Linked DNA regions of Sus scrofa. The protein of the gene in region 1 binds, or shares a complex with, the protein of each later gene. Links are inferred from orthologs where the notes say so. Each region holds a gene or a part of one and is shown in the gene's direction. Other genes may lie near its edges.

Region 1 (5,925 bases):
CTACACAAAAACCAGAGCAACATAGATCCAAGCCGCATCTGCGACCTACACCACAGCTCATGGCAACACTAGATCCTTAACCCACTGAGCAAGGCCAGGGATTGAACCTGCATCCTCAAGGGTACTGATTGAGTTTGTTATCCCTGAGCCACCATGGGAACTCTGCAATCTCTTGCCTTCAAAAGACCTCATTGCCTCAGCAAGTCTGAAGTGTCTTCTTTCTCTCCTTCCAGAGGGCCAGTTGAGAGTGGATGCCAATATATCTGTGCATCACCCTGGGGAGCCTTTGGGCATTCGAACTGAAGTGAAGAATCTCAACAGTGCCAGGTTTTTGGCCAAAGCTATAGGTGAATATCAGCTGTTATTCCCATGTACCTCCTTGTATCCGTTATCTGTTGCTGTGTAACAAGCATCCCTGTCCATCAAACTTAATGGTTCCCACAGTAACATTTCCACTTTCACAGTTCTATGGGTTGAGTGGGTTTTCTGCTGCCCTTCCTCAGTGGAAAGAGTGTGATGAGTGTGGCTGTGGGGAGCCAGCAACTCAGCTCAGACAAAGAGTCCAAGATGACCTCACCCCCATGTTGGGACATTGGTGCTGGGTGCCCACCAGGCTTCTTTACCCACATGGGCTCTCTTCCTTCATTTGCTGAGCCATGGCCTTATTTGGTGGAGGGGTCATGCCAGGAGGATGAAGGCAGACGCCTCGAGGCCTCTTGAGTCCTTAGTTTTAGAACTTGCAGGATCTCTTTCAGCACATTGCATTCAAAGCAGATTCAAGTGAGGTGAAACAGACGTCACCTCTATGAAAGGATCTGCAAAATCCCACAACTCTGTTTTCCACATACCATGTTCCTTCTGACCAGCCTGAATTGAGTGAAGTCCTCTTTGTTCATTTTAGATTGGCCACCACTTGACCTAAGTGGTCAGTATGCTTTTCTGCTTTTTACTGTTTTAACTAATAGATTGGGCCTGTGCAGTCAAGTATTGGTCTTATTGGAGAACATGCTGTGGATATTTCCATGTTGTCAAGCATATACCAATAATTAAACTAGAACAGCTGGGTAAGATCAACATCTGGGGGCGGTCCGTAGAAGTTGATGCCTGTGAATGTGAGAGGAAGACATCTCAGGAATGAAAATATTCTTGAAAACCAGAGGTCTCTAGAGAGAAAGAGAGGCAGGAAGGAGGGGTGGAGTCTGAAGCACACCCTGCAAGGTGCACAGAACATGGCCCACACGGATGTGTCATCACAGGCAGAAGGCTTAGTAGAGTCCTGGGTCTTGTCAAGAAAGTATTCAAAATAGCACAAAAAAAGATTTTCTAGTCTTGTATAAAACCTTATTCTCCTGAACCTGAAATGATCAACCATCCTCAGTGAAGACACTCCGAGTCTGCCAAGTTTCAGGAAAACTGCATGAATTTGGCCAAGGGAATAACTTACAGGAAGGGAAGGTGTCTGAGGGAGACTCCCGTGTGAAGACAGATTAAAGAGGGTGGACTCTGTCCATCAAAGGAGATGCAGTCCATGTTTCTGAGGCTGTGAAAACCCTTCCGGCCCAGGTTCGTGAAGGCGAAGCTTGGGAAGAACGGAAGAAAGTTCCATCTCACCTTGTAGGTGGTGCATGTTCTCCACCTCATTATTCTGAGAGGAGATGGTAACCTTAAAAACCAAATAAGGTTTTAGGTAGATTCATCTCTTTTGAGTTACGGAGACCCTGCCTGTTTCGGGGTAAACCCAACCTTCTATTGTCCTATAAAGTCCCCTTTGGAGCAGCAAGCCTGAGACAGAATTTTCCCTGGGGTCTGCCTTGGCCCAGAACAACTGCAGCTTTACTGTTATGGACTTAGTCCTCCAAGCCTGGAATTTTTCCACCTCCTTTTTCTCCCTCTGTCAGGCCTTTTAGCCATCCTCCTGGTGCTGATGCTTTTTTATCGGCTCAGATTAAGAGTGTGGATTTGGGCAAGAGAAGGGGGTGCGTGCTGGGGTGGGGAGTTAGCAGGACAGAGGCTAAAGCTCTTTTCATAAAGAAGCTTAGCAGCTATAGCTGTGTTTTGCTTTCCACAGCTGCTTTGTTTGATGGTGAGGGAGCACAGCAGTGGCTCTTAATCATTTGGGGTCGTAGATCCCTTTGAAAATGTGATGATAGTTCTGGGCCCTCTTTCCAAAAAACGTGCGTATGCACATACCACGTTTTATATAGTTTCAGAAGGTACCAGGACCCCTTGCCCGTCCATGGGTCCTGGGATAAGGACTCTTGATAAACAACAATCCTAGATCTGGAGTCACTCAGCCTAGATAATGGTCCGAGCCCTTCTTTCGCCAAGTTGTGTAGTCTCCGCTGGGTCCCTTAACCTCTCTGTACCTGAGTTTTCTCAAAAATTGAGAGAGCAGAGCTTCATACAAGGCCCTTTCCAGCACCTTTATTCTATGATGGCATCAAGACAAAAATGTAGCATATGTAGGAAGAATTGTCATAAACAGCTTTTTTTTTTTTTTGACATAAAGATTGAAAAAAGAATTCTAATTATTGCTTAACTGGATGAAAGGAATCAAAATATGATACACGACAAATTTTTTTTTTTAGACTATGAAATTCAGAGGCAAATCAGTGAACTTGAGAATGGAGGTGAAATTCTGAATGAAACTCGTTCGTTTGATTACAAGCTGGGGTGAGTTTGTGTTGCAGCATCTTGAACACAGGTAGGTGGGGCTGTGGCCTGGGCTGGCCACACTCCAGCCATGTCACCTTGAAGGAGGGACGTAGCCTCTCCACCCTTCTGTTTCCTCATTAGTAAAATTAGAAAAACACTGTATCCTACAGAGAGGTGATTTACTCTCTAGGGCTTGTAAGAGGTTTAACCTGGCTGAACCAGACCTGCTCAGGCTGGCCTTTCCCTGGCTTCCAGCTTTCCTCCTTGGGGCAAGAACTTTTACTTCCTTAAATTCTTTCATACCTTAGTTCTGCCAACTGAAGCTAGAGATGGAAGGCAGCTTAGAGCTGATTGTAGAGGTGCCTTTTTCTGTTGAGATAACTTTGAGTCTAATTTTCTGAGTCTGATTTTGAGGATTTTTTCCACTTAGCCGAAGACAGAGTGGAAAAAAGCTCAAAAGCTTAGAGTTGAGTTGGTTAAATGTTGGAAACATTGAAGCAGTTTCTTTTTATTTTTAATTATCATGCTAAACATTTTTTACTTATCTTTTCTGAAATGTATTCACATAAGTGTCTTCCAAAGAAGGCTAAGGAGCTGGAATCTCATGGGTCGCCTCTTGGTAGGGGAGTCCCTGTCTGCATAGGCACTAGCCCACGCTACATGCAACATTTTTTGATGTTTTCTTGTTTAACTGTCACAGGTGCACCGTGCCGATGAGAGATAAAGAAGGAAAACAAGACTACAGGTGGTTATTCCTCTTGTCAAAACACCTTTCACTATTTGGGGTTGGGGCATGTTCCAAATCCACTTATAGACCAACATAATGACCCTGGGTATATTTTAGGAACCACTTTACTTGTTACTGTATAATGGAAAATCCAGACTTCCTGTTTTATATGTATACTGAGTGAATATTTTCTTGATTTGGTAGCCATGGAGTACTTTATTTGGCTTGATTCAGTGGTTGGAAAAGCCATGTTCACTCACCTCTGTGTCACAGTTGTTATAATTGAGCTGAGAGAGTGGCAGGTGAGGGGTGGAGCCTAGGCTGTTCTTATTTTATTCACTAACAAATTCAGTAACACACTGAGGTTCTGTGAGAAGAAGGAAGAAAGATTTATGTATTATTCACAGTTCCCATTGAATCTCAGGTGATGCTATTTAATTGATTTAATTTAAACAAGCTAGACTTGATACGAGAGCCAGAATGAAAGCAAATAATGAGGTTTAGTTTAAAATCAAGTGAACCTTTTGTTTCTTCCCCATGGAGTTTAGCAGACTTCAAAAATTAAAGTTTCAAGCAACAAAGTGATAGAGGTTAGCACATTCTTTTATCAAGTGCAGGAAGAGGTAAGAGTAGCCATTGCTGTCAGTGAGGAGCACACATGGCATTCACGTGATGTGGGAACCAGGAAACTCTTCAACCCTCAGAGTGACGTCTCCTCAAGGACTCCTCTGTCAGAGTCACCACTGTCCTAATTCCTGTGATCTTCTAATTCAGTCTCTTCTTCCCAAGAAGGTCTTTGTTCTCCAGTGCTGCCCCTGCTCTGTTTATGCTGCCTTCTCACTGAGCATGGAGTTGGCTTTTGAACTCAGCCAGTGGCTTCAGCTCAGTCCCCCAGGCAAATAGATGGGATTCAGGAAGCCTCCCTTTGGTTTCCTCTTGCCTTCAGAAGCCAGACTGATTCATGGCACAGATTGGGCTTTGAGGCAGTGGGTTGCTTGCACTTCTGATCTGTTACCTTGGGGCCACCATTTATTCTGCATTATCCAGCTTCTGCACAAGCTCCTTGACAAGATGTGGGTGGAGAAGAAACTCTACATGCTGAAGAGAATGAAGGGAAGGACGTCCTTGTTTCAGAAGAGCATGTGCAGTGGTGCGGCTTCCACATTTTTTTTTTAAAAATTGACTTTTTAGACCAGTTTTAGGTTTATAGCAGAACTGAGGGCAAATCATAAGAGTTCCTATATACTCCTTGGTGTATTTCATGTACTCCCCTTCCCCCCACCACACACACAGTTTCCCCTAATAATATCTTGCGTTAGGGTAAAGCGTGGTACATTTGTTAAAGTTGATGAACCAGTATTGATAGCTTATTAGTAACTAGAGTCCATGGTTTACACCAGGGTTTGCTCTCTATGTTACACATTTTGCGGGTTTTGACAGATGTGTAATGACATGTACCCGTCATTAGTGTCACACAGTATGGTTTCACTGCCTCCAAAATCCCCTGTGCTTCCCTCAGCTAACATTTTATTTAAACAAAATGCATTTTTTCTTCCACTTTTCAAGAAAGAAATTTCTCTCTCTCTCTCTTTTTTTGGGGGGGGTCTTTTTGCCTTTTCTAGGGTCACTTCCTGCAGCATATGGAGGTTCCCAGGCCAGGGGTCTCATCGGAGCTGTAACCACTGGCTTATACCAGAGCCATAGCAACGCGGGATCCGCGCCGCATCTGCAACCTGTACCACAGCTCACGGCAACGCCGGATCCTTAACCCACTGAGCAAGGCCATGGATCGAACCTGCAACCTCATGGTTCCTAGTCGGATTTATTAACCACTGTGCCATAACGGAACTCCTTTTTCTTTTGTGTTTTTCAGCCTTGCCCACAGCACACAAAAGTTCCCTGGCCAGGGCTCAAACCTGCACCATAGTGGTGACCTGAGCCACAACAGTGACAATGCCAAGTTCTTAACTGCTAGGCCAGTGAAAATTGTAAAATGAGTGAAGTCATCTTTTTCCTAAAAAGTAGATTCTTACCTGGTCGTATTTTTTCAGCCTCCATCTTTATGAATGTCTGTACTTTACTCACAATTACGAATCACTGTGTGGCATCGTTCTCTGCTGTGCCTTTTTCACTCAATGCTAGTTTATAAGTGCAGAGAATAAGTGGGTTTGGGCTTTTCGACCTGGACTTTACCCTTGTACAAGGACTCGTTCCTGGGAAACCGGAAGACTTGCTATTATGGGACGTTAGGAAATATTTGCCAGTAAAAGGGCATCTGGACCAAGGCTTTCGTGCTGACGGCAGGTCTGTCTCTCCACCCAGGTTCATGCCGGAGCCCAACCTTCCCCCACTGCTGCTCTATGACTCGGGGTCTCTGCCTGCCGGTGTCGACCCGCAGCAGGTGATCAACATCGACTGGCTCCGGGAGCGGCTCCCCGAGCTGCCCAGCGTGACCCGGGAGAAGCTTGTGCGACAGTATGGGATGCTGCCGGAGCACAGCGTTGCCTTGCTGGTGGGTACTAAGCAGAGCAGTGAGCCTGGCC
Region 2 (5,925 bases), on another chromosome or scaffold:
AAACAAATTTAGATGAGTTTGCTATGGGGTAAGTAAAATTGAAATTTTCTTTTCTTGTATTTTTTTCATTTGTATCTTTAATTTCCTCAAGTGTAGGTACCTAAAAGTAGTGAGGTGATTTCTTGAGGACGCTAATCCCAGATTCTCAGGCCTTCCTTAAGATTTATGTTCTGCTGACCGGTCGTATCTTATTTTGGTTTTAATTTGGACTTCTCTGGTGACTAACGATGTTAAACATCATGTATTTATTTTGCTACCCATGTATCTTTGGTGAAGTTTCTATTCAAATCTTTGCGCTTTTTAAAAAAACCGGGTTGTCCCAATTAGTATCCATGAGGACACAGGTTCAATCCCTGGCCTCGATCAGTGGGTTAAGGATACGGCATTGCCATGAGCTGTGGTGTAGTTCACAGACACGGCTCAGATCTGGCATTGCTGTGGCTGTGGTGTAGGCTGGCAGCTGCAGCTCTGATGTAACCCCTAGCCTGGGAACCTCCATATGCAGCCCTAAAAAGACAAAGAAAAAAAATTTTTTTAATTGGGTTGTTTTATTGAGTCGTAAGAGTTTTTTTTCATATATTCCGGATTCAAATTCAATGTCAGATCATTTGCAAATATATTCTGAGTCTCTGGCTTGTCTTTGCATTCTCCAAATATGCCTTTCAAACAGTACAAGCTTTGGAGTTCCCGTCGTGGCGCAGTGGTTAACGAATCCAACTAGGAACCATGAGGTTGCGGGTTCGGTCCCTGCGCTTGCTCAGTGGGTTAACGATCCGGCGTTGCCGTGAGCTGTGGTGTAGGTTGCAGAAGCGGCTCGGATCCCGAGTTGCTGTGGCTCTGGCATAGGCCAGTGGCTACAGCTCCGAATAGACCCCTAGCCTGGGAACCTCCATATGCCACAGGAGCGGCCCAAAGAAACAGCAAAAAGACAAACAAACAAACAAAAACAAACAAACAAACAAAAAAATACAGTACAAGCTTTTAATATCCTGTTCCTCATTTTCTTTAATGACTTGATGTTTTTTGTGTCTTATCAAAGAAATCTTTCCCTTTCCTTTCCTCAAAGTCATAAAGATTTTTTTTTCCATGTTTCTCCTAGAAGTTTTACAGTTTTAGTTCTTATATTTAGACTTGTGTTCCATTTGAGTTAATTTTTCATATATGATGTGAAGAAAGCCGAAGTTCTCTCTCTCTTTTTTTTTTTTTTTTTTTTTTTTAACATATGTCTGTCCTGTAGATCTGGGACTATTTGTATAAAAATTCAAATTAAATTACTTTGATTCCTTTGTGAAAAAATCAATTGAACACTTTTTTTAGTATTATAGAAAATGGTATTTTTTTCAGTTTCTAATTGTTTATTTCTAATATATAGGAATGTAATTGACTTTTCTATGTTGACCTTTTATTTTTATCCTGTGACCTTGGTAAGCTCACTTATTAATTCTGGTTGGGCTTTGTATAGATTGTTTGGTATATTTTATATAGGTGAGCATGTAGTCTGCAAATAGAGACAGTTTTATTTCTTTTTCTAGCCTTTTTGCACCAGTTAGGACTTTTAGTACAATATTGAATATTAAGTGGTAAGATCAAATATCCTTGCCTTGTTCCTAATCATGGAGGAAAGCATTTAGTCTTTCATCAAAAGCATTTTATTTCCCCTTTTATAACATTTGTCACACTTGTAATATTAGTTTGGTCTGTGTTTCCTGTTTCATACAAGCAGATTCCTTCACTCTCTTATTTACAGTGGCATCTCTTAGTAATTAGTAAACATATGTTGAATGAATTAATCTGGAAGTAAACGTGAACATAGGTTTTTAGGACATTACCTTGAACAGCTGATCAAAATGAACATCACTAGTGAGAGTAGAGCAATACCGTGTACTTCCAGATGTGATTCTCTGAGAAGGAATCACCTATGCAATATTCCAGCTGAGAATGTATTCCAGCTCATAATGAGGAAACAAACAATAAATCTGAAAGGAGAAACATTCTATTAAAATCTCAATATCATAAAAACAAAGAAAGACTGTGAAAATGTTCCAGGCTAAAGGAGGCTAAAGAAAGTAAAACCTATAACTTAAGAAAACATAGGAGAAAATCTTTCTGACCCTGAATAATGCCGAAATTTCTTATATGGGACACATAAAGTACATTCTATAAAATTAAAAATCAGTAAATTGGATTTCCTTAAAATTAAGAGCTGTACTTTGAAATACAGTGTTAAAAATGGAAAAACAAGCCATAGACTGGGAAAAAATATTTGCAAAACACATGTCTGAGAAAGAATTGGGATCCAGTATATGTAGAAACTTTCCCAAATCAAAACAACCCAATTAAAAAAAAAAAAAGAGTAAAAGTTATAAACAACTTCTGAAATTGTATGTCAAAGAAAGTAATACAATTGGCAAAAAGAAAAATCAAAAAATACTTAATGTGGTTAGTCACTCAAGAAATGCAAATTAAAACCACAATAAAGTATATACATGTGAGTTAGAATGGCTTTAAAAATGACAATATCAGAGTTCCCGTCATGGCGCAGTGGTTAACGAATCCGACTAGGAACCATGAGGTTGCAGGTTCGATCCCTGGCCTTGCTCAGTGGGTTAAGGATCGGGCATTGCCGTGAGCTATGGTGTAGGTGGCAGACGTGGCTCAGATCCCAGATCCCACATTGCCGTGGCTCTGGTGTAGGCCAGTGGCTACAGCTCCGGTTAGACCCCTAGCCTGGGAACCTCCATATGCTGTGGGAGCAGCCCTAGAAAAAGCAATAAGACCAAAAAAAAAAAAAAAAAAAAAAAAGAAGAAGACAATATCAAGTGCTGACCAGGATGCAGAACAATTGGTCTTCTCATACAGCACTGGTATGAAATGCAAAATGGTGTAGCCATTTGGAAAACAGTTTAGCAGTTTCTTATAAAATTAAACATACATTTACCCTAAGACCCAACATTCTCAATCCTGGGTATTCACCCAAGAGATGAAGGTTTATGTTTACACTAAAGCATGGGCTCCAGCCCTTCAGTACAGTATTTATTGTGGCTTTATTCAAATTGCTAAAAACAGGAAATAATGCAAATTCATAGACTGGTGAAAAAAGTAAAAAGAGAGAGTAAAGAGACAAGGATAACTAATACCATTCCTGACTCTTGATTTGATCCTGTACTAAAAGGAGGTAAAGTTCTATAAAGGACAGTATTGGATCAACTGACAAAATTGGATTACATGTAGTAGGTTCAATAAAAATATTGTATTGCTGTTAAATTTACTGAGGTGACTATACTGTAATTGTGTAAGAGAATACCAAAGGGTCTTTGGACATGCATACTGAATTCATACTAAAGTATTTAGGGGTAAAGGGCCATAGTATATATTATTTAACCTTAAGTAGTTCAGGGAAAAAATGTATAGATACACACACAGAGCACAAAAATGATAAAACAAATGGGGTAAAATGTAAACAGTAGGTGAACCAGGGTAAAGGCTATGAAGTTTTTTCATACTATTTTTTATTTCTGTAATTTATCTGTAAGGTTGACATTTTTTCAAAATTAAAAAAAAGTTATTAGCATTCCACTAAGAATGCTTCTCAAAACTTCTGCTAAAGAGGAATTCCTTCAAAAGCCTACTTATTGGCATTCTCTTTGGCGCCGCAGGTTAAGGATTTAACACTGTTACTGCAGTGGCTTGGGTTGCTGCTGTAGCATGGGTTTGATCCCTGGCTCGGGAATTTCCCCATACTGTGGGCATGGCCAAAAATAAAAAAAAAGTCTTGTTAACTATTTGAATGTTTGTGACACACTTCAACTGGAAAACCTTAATTTATAAAGGAAATCATCCTAAGCTGAATTAGATAATCAATTTGGATAAATATCTTCTCTTAGCAGACCAGTTTTTTCCTACTTTTTATCACAAATCTCTTACTTCCCATCCTTCACCTCCTCAACCATCTAATTAAAGAAAGTGACATCTAAATAGGCTTCCTGCCTTTTCACGTCCAATTTATAATCAAAGTGGATTATACAGCATCAAAAGCAAATAATATAACCAGGAGATGGAAATTTCACACAAAATGAGCTTTAGTAAGAGATCTTGCTTCACTTCTTCATCTCAGATCTGGAAGCACAGATGGCATATTTGGACCGGTTAAAAACCCCTGGAGTTACTCAAAACAGTACAGAGGAAAGAAGCAGCAGAAGACTCATGGTGAGGATGAGGATTCAAACTGGCTTATAACTGGAGGAAGCTCAGGTGGTAGCGCAGCGGCCGTGTCAGCGTTCACCTGCTTTGCGTAAGATGTTTTTTCTATCTGTACTTTAAAACCCAACTCAATACAGTCATAAGCCATACACAAAACCAACAGTTGAGTCCTTCAGACCTTGCTATTTTTATTTCTCTTTAGTGAGCTCTTTGTGCTCAATGATAACATCAAAATTATATCTTATAATTATACTCAACTGTATGGTACACCTGTGTTTTATACATTTAACCTTAAGACAACATTTAAACTCTTCCTCTCTAGTGTCCAGTCCTCTTAAAAACATAATTTTTGTGGATCTTACAGAATAAACCAGTTGACTTAAATAGACATTGAATTTCATTTTTTAAATCATTTATCTCTGACTGTGGAGATATTTAGGGACATCTTGGCTTTGGTGGAATGCTGCTGAGCTAAATTCTTAGCTATGGTTTATCCTTCAGCTAAATCCAATTTTTGCAACAACAAAAAAAAAAGAAGATGCTCCTAATATATATCAATAGACTATTTTAAATAGTGTGTTTTATAAATCTGCAACTAAAAATGTCTATCAGTAAGTAAAGGTTTTTCTAATTTGTAGGGAGGCGATTTGTTCAACTGTCAAACTTTGTATTTGGAAAGAATCCATCAGTCATGCTTTATGTCTTAAGTCTCACTTGTAAAGCATTTCTTAACCATCTAAAGAAAAGTAAATAAATATTGCTGTTATTATGTGTTTATTTTATTGGTCTCAATTTAACCAAATAGAAAGTTTTCTTTTGTAGTACTATATTTTATTTCCACTTAATTATCCACTGAAACCAAGCTTTTTGCAGGCATTGCAGTCAATAAGTTATTTATACATTTTAGAGCTATGGAGATTTAGATTCTACAGTTTTTTTTATAGTTTTCCTAAAATCTTGTTAACAAGTAAAACCATTTCATTTTATCTCTATGGAATTTTATAGTACCATATTAATATTAATGAGAGTTCTGACAAGTTAGAGTTGCAAGATGAGGTGTATTTTTTTTCCATCCCCATCACCCCACTTAGTGTTATCTTTTCCTAATATGCTTTGAGAAGATGGCATTTTGACACATAATTCCTATGGAAATGTGGGTTTTACTTTTACACAGCCGTCAGGGAATCCTAATAAGAAAACGTGTCTTTTTAGAAATTGGGAAAGCAGCAGTCTGATTTTGTAGCTTAAGTGGACTGGGTAACAACGGCAGTCTATGATACATTTTCTGTAGAGCACAAGGGCTACGTGATAGGTAGGAGCCTTGTTCAGTCCAAAGCTTCACTCTGGGTGTTATCATGAGAAGCACAGGAGTTCCCGCTGTGGCTCAGTGGAAACAATCTGACTAGTATCCATTGAGGGCAAAGGTTCAATCCCTGACCTCCCTTAGTGGGTTAAGGATCCAGCATTGCCATGAGCTGTGATGTAGGTCGCCAACATGGCTTGGATCCCGAGTTGCTCTGGCTGTGGTGTAGGCCAGCAGCTACAGCTCCTGGGAACCTCCATATGCCATGGGTGCAGCCCTAAAGACAAAAAAAAAGAGAGAGAGAGGCACAGACCCAGAGAAACTCCAGGTTCAGTGGATCTCAAACTGACAAGTATTCTGCTTGATTTTTCCCCCTTTGGATTTGTTTCTTTTATATATAAGTAGTTTTTAAAACAGGAAGA
Region 3 (5,925 bases), on another chromosome or scaffold:
TGTGTGTGGTTATAGCAGGTTTAGTGCATAGGCATTCCCTGAATGGGTGGTGGGGATCCAAGTGTACCTGAGGTGCATGAACTCATTTCTGAAAGGAGCTGATATTCAACACCCACCTCCTATTGCCATGAGAGTGAAAGCCCAGCATTATCAGATCTTTTAAAACATTCATTTAATCTTTCCAGCAATTCTCTGAAGCATTTTACAAATAAACTGATAACATGAAAGAAAAAGTAACTTGCATACAGGCCACGTTGTGGCTCTGGGGTTTGGATTCAGCAATGATTCAGGAGCCTAAGTTCTTTGCCATTTTTGCTATGTTGCCCAACAGAAATATAAAGTCCAATAGTTACCTTCATAGATGATTTTTATTTTTGTTCTCCAGGTTTCCTTAAATGAGTATGAGTCCATAACCTCATATGGTTAAAAAGAAAAAATCAAGTACAACATTCACTTTTTTGGCAAGAAACTGAAGGTCTAGAAGATCATACTTGTTTAGGGCAACACATTTAAGACAGTGCCAGCTCCTGGAATAAACTCCAACTGTCCACTCTTAGCACCATTTGAATACATGTTTATTGTGTCTCGTCCTAGGCTGGGTGCCCCAAAGAAAACAGAACCAATCCTTTCCTAAAAGAATCTTAACATTACAACTTGGCCCTCTATGCAGCCTCTACGCAGATGTTCATGTCACATCCTTGCCCCACTGTCCTATTAGGTTGAGCCCTCAGCTTGTCTGGCTCAAAGCAGAAAGACACTGGCTGCTCCCCATCAGTGATTTAGCAGACTGCTTATTTTTCAGCCCAAGTATCTGGAAGCAGGCTCAAGCCTCCTGTCACACACTTTTGTTTTTTGTTTCTGTTTTTGTTTTTGCTTTTTAGGGGCCACACTAGCTGCTTGTGGAGGTTCCCAGGCTAGGGGTCAAAATCAGAGCTACAGCTTCTGGCCTACACCACAGCCACAGCAACGTAGGATCTGAGCCGCATCTGTGACCTACACCACAGCTCCCAGCAATGCCAGATCCTTAACCCACTGAGCAAGGCCAGGAATCAAACCCGTGTCCTCATGGATACTAGTTGGGCTTGTTACTGCCAAGCCGCAATGGGAACTTCCTGTCATGCACTTTGAAACCTTAGAACAGTAGTAAGGCCCCACAGATGTGTCCAACTTCTGTTCAGTTTCACTAGTTTGCCATCTGGATACTTTAATAAAACTATTAGGCACTAAGAAGATTCTTAAGCTGTGTTTGTGGTACATCTTACAAGGGCAGGTACTTATATCCACAAAGGTGGCTGCAATGGAAAAAGCACTCATCTTAGGGGAACCAGAGTTGGTTCCCAGGCCTGTCACTTAGGAGCTTAAGTCATTTATAACCACTTTTGAGCAAGTTTCTGCACCTGCCTGGAAGTCCATTTCCATCCACCCAATCCAGCTATTTCTTAACTGTGGCAAAGGAATAATATTACCTATTCTGAATACATATTCCTCACCCAGGCTGGGTTAGGTTCCCTTTTCAATTCCCTTGGCAAGCACTGCTTACCTCTTAAGATTTAACTGACTTTTACCTATCTCCACCAAAAGCGACTTACACATAGTAATCAGCAAAAAATATTTATTAAACATATCAATCCTAAGGAATAATTACTACTTACCTCACAGGGTTGTTGGGAGAATCTGTAAACTATACTGTTATTTGCTCTACCACTGACCACAGTGCCTCCATCTTTGAGCAGTTACTCTAACCCAATGTGCTGCTCCTTTTTCTCCTTCTCGACCCTCTCTACCTTACCATAGAAGCCCTGTTCTGAGAAGGTAACCTTAAACTTCTGGTTTTGTAGATGTCTGTACCTGAGATCCGACAATGTGGTAGAAGGCAACTGTGCTGAAGAACTACTACAAAACTCCCATCGAGTTGTGGAGGAGTATTTTGTGGCCCCCCCAGGTATGTGTTGCCCAGAATGGCTTCACAGACTGTCCCACAGTAAACTAAGAATATAACCCAGATTGTCTATGTGAAAGCACTTTAAAAAGTATAAAGTAGCAATAGATGAAGGTAGTCAAAAGGTATAAGCTTCCAGTTATAAGTGAAGTAAGTCCTGGGGATGTAATGTCGGGACTATATAGTTAACAATACTGAATATCTGAAAGTTGCTAAGAGTAGACATTAAAAGTTCTCATCACAAGAGAAGAAACTGTAACTATGTGAGATGATAGATGTTAATTAATCTTATAGTAACCATTTTGCAATATATACATATATCAAATCATTGTGTTGTATGCCTTAAACTTATACAATGTCACATGTCAATTATATTTTACCTGTCGATTATATCTCAATAAAACTGGAAACAACAAACAAACCAGGAATGGGAGCCCATTTTCTCAGAGAACCTGGACATCTGGCATTTTGTGTGCTATTTTAAGTGTATGATAACTAATTCAAGATTTTAAAAAATAAAATACCTTGCAAATAAAACATACCTGCAAGCTAGACACTGCCTGTGAATCATCAATTTGCATATCCTAGTGTAGAGATTTGCATGTTTAAATTTCTCTGTAACTATTAGTTTTTATTTTTTCATTTTTGGCTACCCCAAGGCACATGGAGCTCCCAGGCCAGGGATCAGATCTGAGCTGCAACGCCAGATCCTTAACCCACTGTGCCGGGCTGGGGATCGAACCTGCATCCCACTGCTCCCAAAAAGGCCACTGATCACATTATGCCACAGCAGGAGCTCCTACAGATATTTTAAGTGGAAACTTTAAAATAACCCTGGGCCAGTAATAAAACCCAGAACCTTAGGTGGTTTGAACTGTTGATGGGTGAGTCCTCAGAGCTACTGCATCCCTCTGGACATTTGGGGATGGGACTAACCACTCCAGGTAGATGGCTTTCCAAGTGCCAACTTCAAGTTCTTCAGAGGAGAACCATCCTGAGAAGCCTCCAGAGATACACATCAGCCCTCTAGCTCAGGAATTCTCTCTTTGATCAAGACCAACCAGTTAAAGGAAAGCTCTGGTTGAAGCAAGGATGGGAAGGAAACCTAAAAGATACGTGTGCTTAACTCTTAATCATGCCTCTTATTAACTAAACCACTTTAGTTAATTGTGCAGAGAAATAAGATTTTATAATCTCTCAACTCATTCTGATAGTTGTTGCCATTTCAGCAGACGTATCTGTTGATCACACATGCTATTTCTCAAATAGAACCTTGTGTCAGAATATGCATCTTGGGGAGTTCCTGCTGTGGTGCAGTGAGTTAAGAAGCTGACTGCAGCAGTATGGGTTTTGATCCCTGGCCCAGCAGCACAGTGGGTTAAAGGACCCAGTTGCAGGTGCAGCTGGGATTCAGTCCCTAGCCTGGGAACTTCCATATGCTTCTGGTGCAGCCATTAAAAAGAAAAAAATTTTTTCTTTTTTCTTCTTTTTGTCTTTTTGGGCAGCACCCTCAGCATATGGAGTTCCTAGGCTAGGGGTCCAATCGGAGCTGTAGCTGCCGGCCTACACCACAGCCACAGCAACGCCAGATCCGAGCCACGTCTGCCACCTACACCACAGCTCAGCAACTCTGATCCTTAAGCCACTAAGCGAGGCCAGGGATCCAACCTGCGTCCTTATGGATGCTAGTCTGGTTCTTAACCACTGAGCCATGACAGGAACTCCAAAAAGAAAAATTTGTGTCTTGGGACAAACTGAGTTTACAATCATAATCTCTCTTTCCTCTCCCATATGCATGCATAAAAAATGACAAATTAAACTATCTGCTACTTACTGAAAATGTGCACTCAAAAAAACTAACACAACACTGTAAATCAACTGTACTTCAATTAAAAAAAATATATATATTCAGAGTAAAAAAAAGTATCTGTGAACCATGGTTCTTAAAGCTTAATAACTACACTTATTTATATTGCTTATTTTTCATGACAAACCATGTGGTAAGTTAGCTCAGTGTAGAGCCGGTTGGGAAGCAGGCTTAACTAAAAATTCCTTTTTGTTATTGTTTTCAAACAGGTAATATCTCTTGGTCAAAGCTGGATGAAAAAGAGCCCTTCTCATTCCGCTGAGTACTCTTCTGGGAAGGAGTGTTCTATGAACATTGGAAGGACAACAACAGTATTTTGTTATTATGAACGCAAATATTCCCACTTCCTTCAGTCACCTGGAAAAAAAATTGATGGTTAGGCATTTTTTAGTAAGTGACTCTTCTGAAGACCGACTTGGGAAAGATCTAGCCAAAGAGTTCCTGATGCCAGTGGAAGTAGAAGGTATTGCCGATTTCCAAGGAAATGGATCAAGTATTTACTCACAGGCCATTAAGTATGGATAGCTTGATCCCTTCCCTCAAAAGACTGTCTACCAAGCTGTACTTAAAGTGACCTTTTTTGTTTATGTAACTGTTAGACACTGCATCTGATCACTGTGTTGACAGCCTGAGCTATCCTTTTCAGACTGTCAACTTGAGCAGCCTTTTACTTTTACTGAACATACTTAAATTTGTTCCAGGGTACCCACCTTCTTCCAAGCAGAGGGCTGACTTTCTGCTGAGGTTAAAGGAGTAGGGAGGCAGCTTTAGGAGGTAGGTGATAGATATGTATATGGCCTTCATGGTTGTGATTTCATACCAGTATACTTAACCCCAAACTCATTGAATTGTATACATTAAATAAGTACAGCATTTTACAGATAATTATATTTCAATAAAGTGTTTTTTTTTTTTTTTTTTTTTTTTTTTTTTTTTTAATGTAGCCCTGGGCCTGCAACAGAGTAGGCCCCCAGTTCCATGATTACTGAACTTAAGCAGAATCCAAGATAGTGGGGATTTTTTTTTGTTCTGGGTTTGTTTATTTTTTGTCTTTTTAAGGCTGCACCCAGGGCATAGTTCCCAGGCTAGTGGTTGAATCAGAGCTGTAGCTGCCAGGCTATACTACAGCCACAGAAATGTGGGATCTGTGCCACATCTGCGACCTACATCACAGCTCATGGCAACCCACTGAGTGAGACCAGGGATGGAACCCACGTCTTCAATGAATATAAGTAAGGTTTGTTACCAGTGAGCCATGATGGGAACTCCACGTTTTGTTTTTTAAAGCTCAGATACCAAGGACAAATGAGACAAATTTAGGAATGAAAGTGATAGAACCAAAACTTAAGAGATTTTTTTTTTTTTCTAACCAACTGCCAAAGTTGGTTTTGGGTAAGAATTTCCCGATGATCTTTATGCTGGTGCCCACTTAAAAAAGCCTTCCTGGAGTTCCTGTCGTGGCACATCGGAAATGAATCTTACTAGGAATGGGTTCGATCCCTGGCCTCGCTCAGGGGCTTAAGGATCTGGTGTTGCCGTGAGCTGTGGTGAAGGTTGCAGACACAGCTTGGATCCTGTGTTGCTGAAGCTGTGGGGTAGGCTGGAAGTTGTAGCTCCGATTTGACCCTTAGCCTGGGAACCTCCATATGCCACGGGTATGGCCCTAAAAAAGCAAAGTAAACAAAAATAAAAAGCCTCCCCACTCCCTTCTCTTATCTGCAATGCTCCCCTTTTCCTTTTTTTGCCAGACCCATGGAACATATGAAAGTTCTTGGACCAGGGATCAAATCTAAGCCACAGTGATGACCTATGCCACAGCTGGATTTGATCCCTGCCACAGTGGTGGCAATGCTGGATCCTTAACCCACTGCGCCAGGCCAGGGATCAAACCCTTGCCTCCACAGCAACCCAAACTACTGCAGTCAGATTTTTAACCCACTTTGCCACAGAGGGAATTCCTCCCCTTTTCTTTAAAGCAGCTTAATTTACACAATTAGCCTTGAATTATAAGAAAACCCTGAATCTACCCTTGGGATTGAAGTTCTCAAACCACTATCAGAGCAACTACCTTTATTCCCAAATACAGTAATCCACTTCTGCTCTTTACCAGTTGGGTACA

What was found. The genes of interacting proteins can lie anywhere in the genome.
Region 2: GATB (region 1) and QRSL1 share a complex: the UniProt entries of both Homo sapiens proteins name them as parts of the heterotrimeric GatCAB amidotransferase (AdT) complex. The link is inferred for Sus scrofa from reciprocal best matches to the Homo sapiens genes GATB and QRSL1.
Region 3: GATB (region 1) and GATC share a complex: the UniProt entries of both Homo sapiens proteins name them as parts of the heterotrimeric GatCAB amidotransferase (AdT) complex. The link is inferred for Sus scrofa from reciprocal best matches to the Homo sapiens genes GATB and GATC.

Annotation. Positions count from the first base shown.
Region 1 is NC_010450.4:77,280,147-77,286,071, forward strand, and holds part of GATB (glutamyl-tRNA(Gln) amidotransferase subunit B, mitochondrial), read left to right. Parts: intron 1-233; coding exon 234-347; intron 348-2,588; coding exon 2,589-2,673; intron 2,674-3,355; coding exon 3,356-3,400; intron 3,401-5,704; coding exon 5,705-5,894; intron 5,895-5,925. UniProt on the Homo sapiens protein: Allows the formation of correctly charged Gln-tRNA(Gln) through the transamidation of misacylated Glu-tRNA(Gln) in the mitochondria. The reaction takes place in the presence of glutamine and ATP through an activated gamma-phospho-Glu-tRNA(Gln).
Region 2 is NC_010443.5:72,824,179-72,830,103, forward strand, and holds part of QRSL1 (glutamyl-tRNA(Gln) amidotransferase subunit A, mitochondrial), read left to right. Parts: coding exon 1-28; intron 29-4,114; coding exon 4,115-4,291; intron 4,292-5,925. UniProt on the Homo sapiens protein: Allows the formation of correctly charged Gln-tRNA(Gln) through the transamidation of misacylated Glu-tRNA(Gln) in the mitochondria. The reaction takes place in the presence of glutamine and ATP through an activated gamma-phospho-Glu-tRNA(Gln).
Region 3 is NC_010456.5:40,418,942-40,424,866, forward strand, and holds part of GATC (glutamyl-tRNA(Gln) amidotransferase subunit C, mitochondrial), read left to right. Parts: intron 1-1,838; coding exon 1,839-1,942; intron 1,943-4,015; coding exon 4,016-4,068; 3' UTR 4,069-5,925. UniProt on the Homo sapiens protein: Allows the formation of correctly charged Gln-tRNA(Gln) through the transamidation of misacylated Glu-tRNA(Gln) in the mitochondria. The reaction takes place in the presence of glutamine and ATP through an activated gamma-phospho-Glu-tRNA(Gln).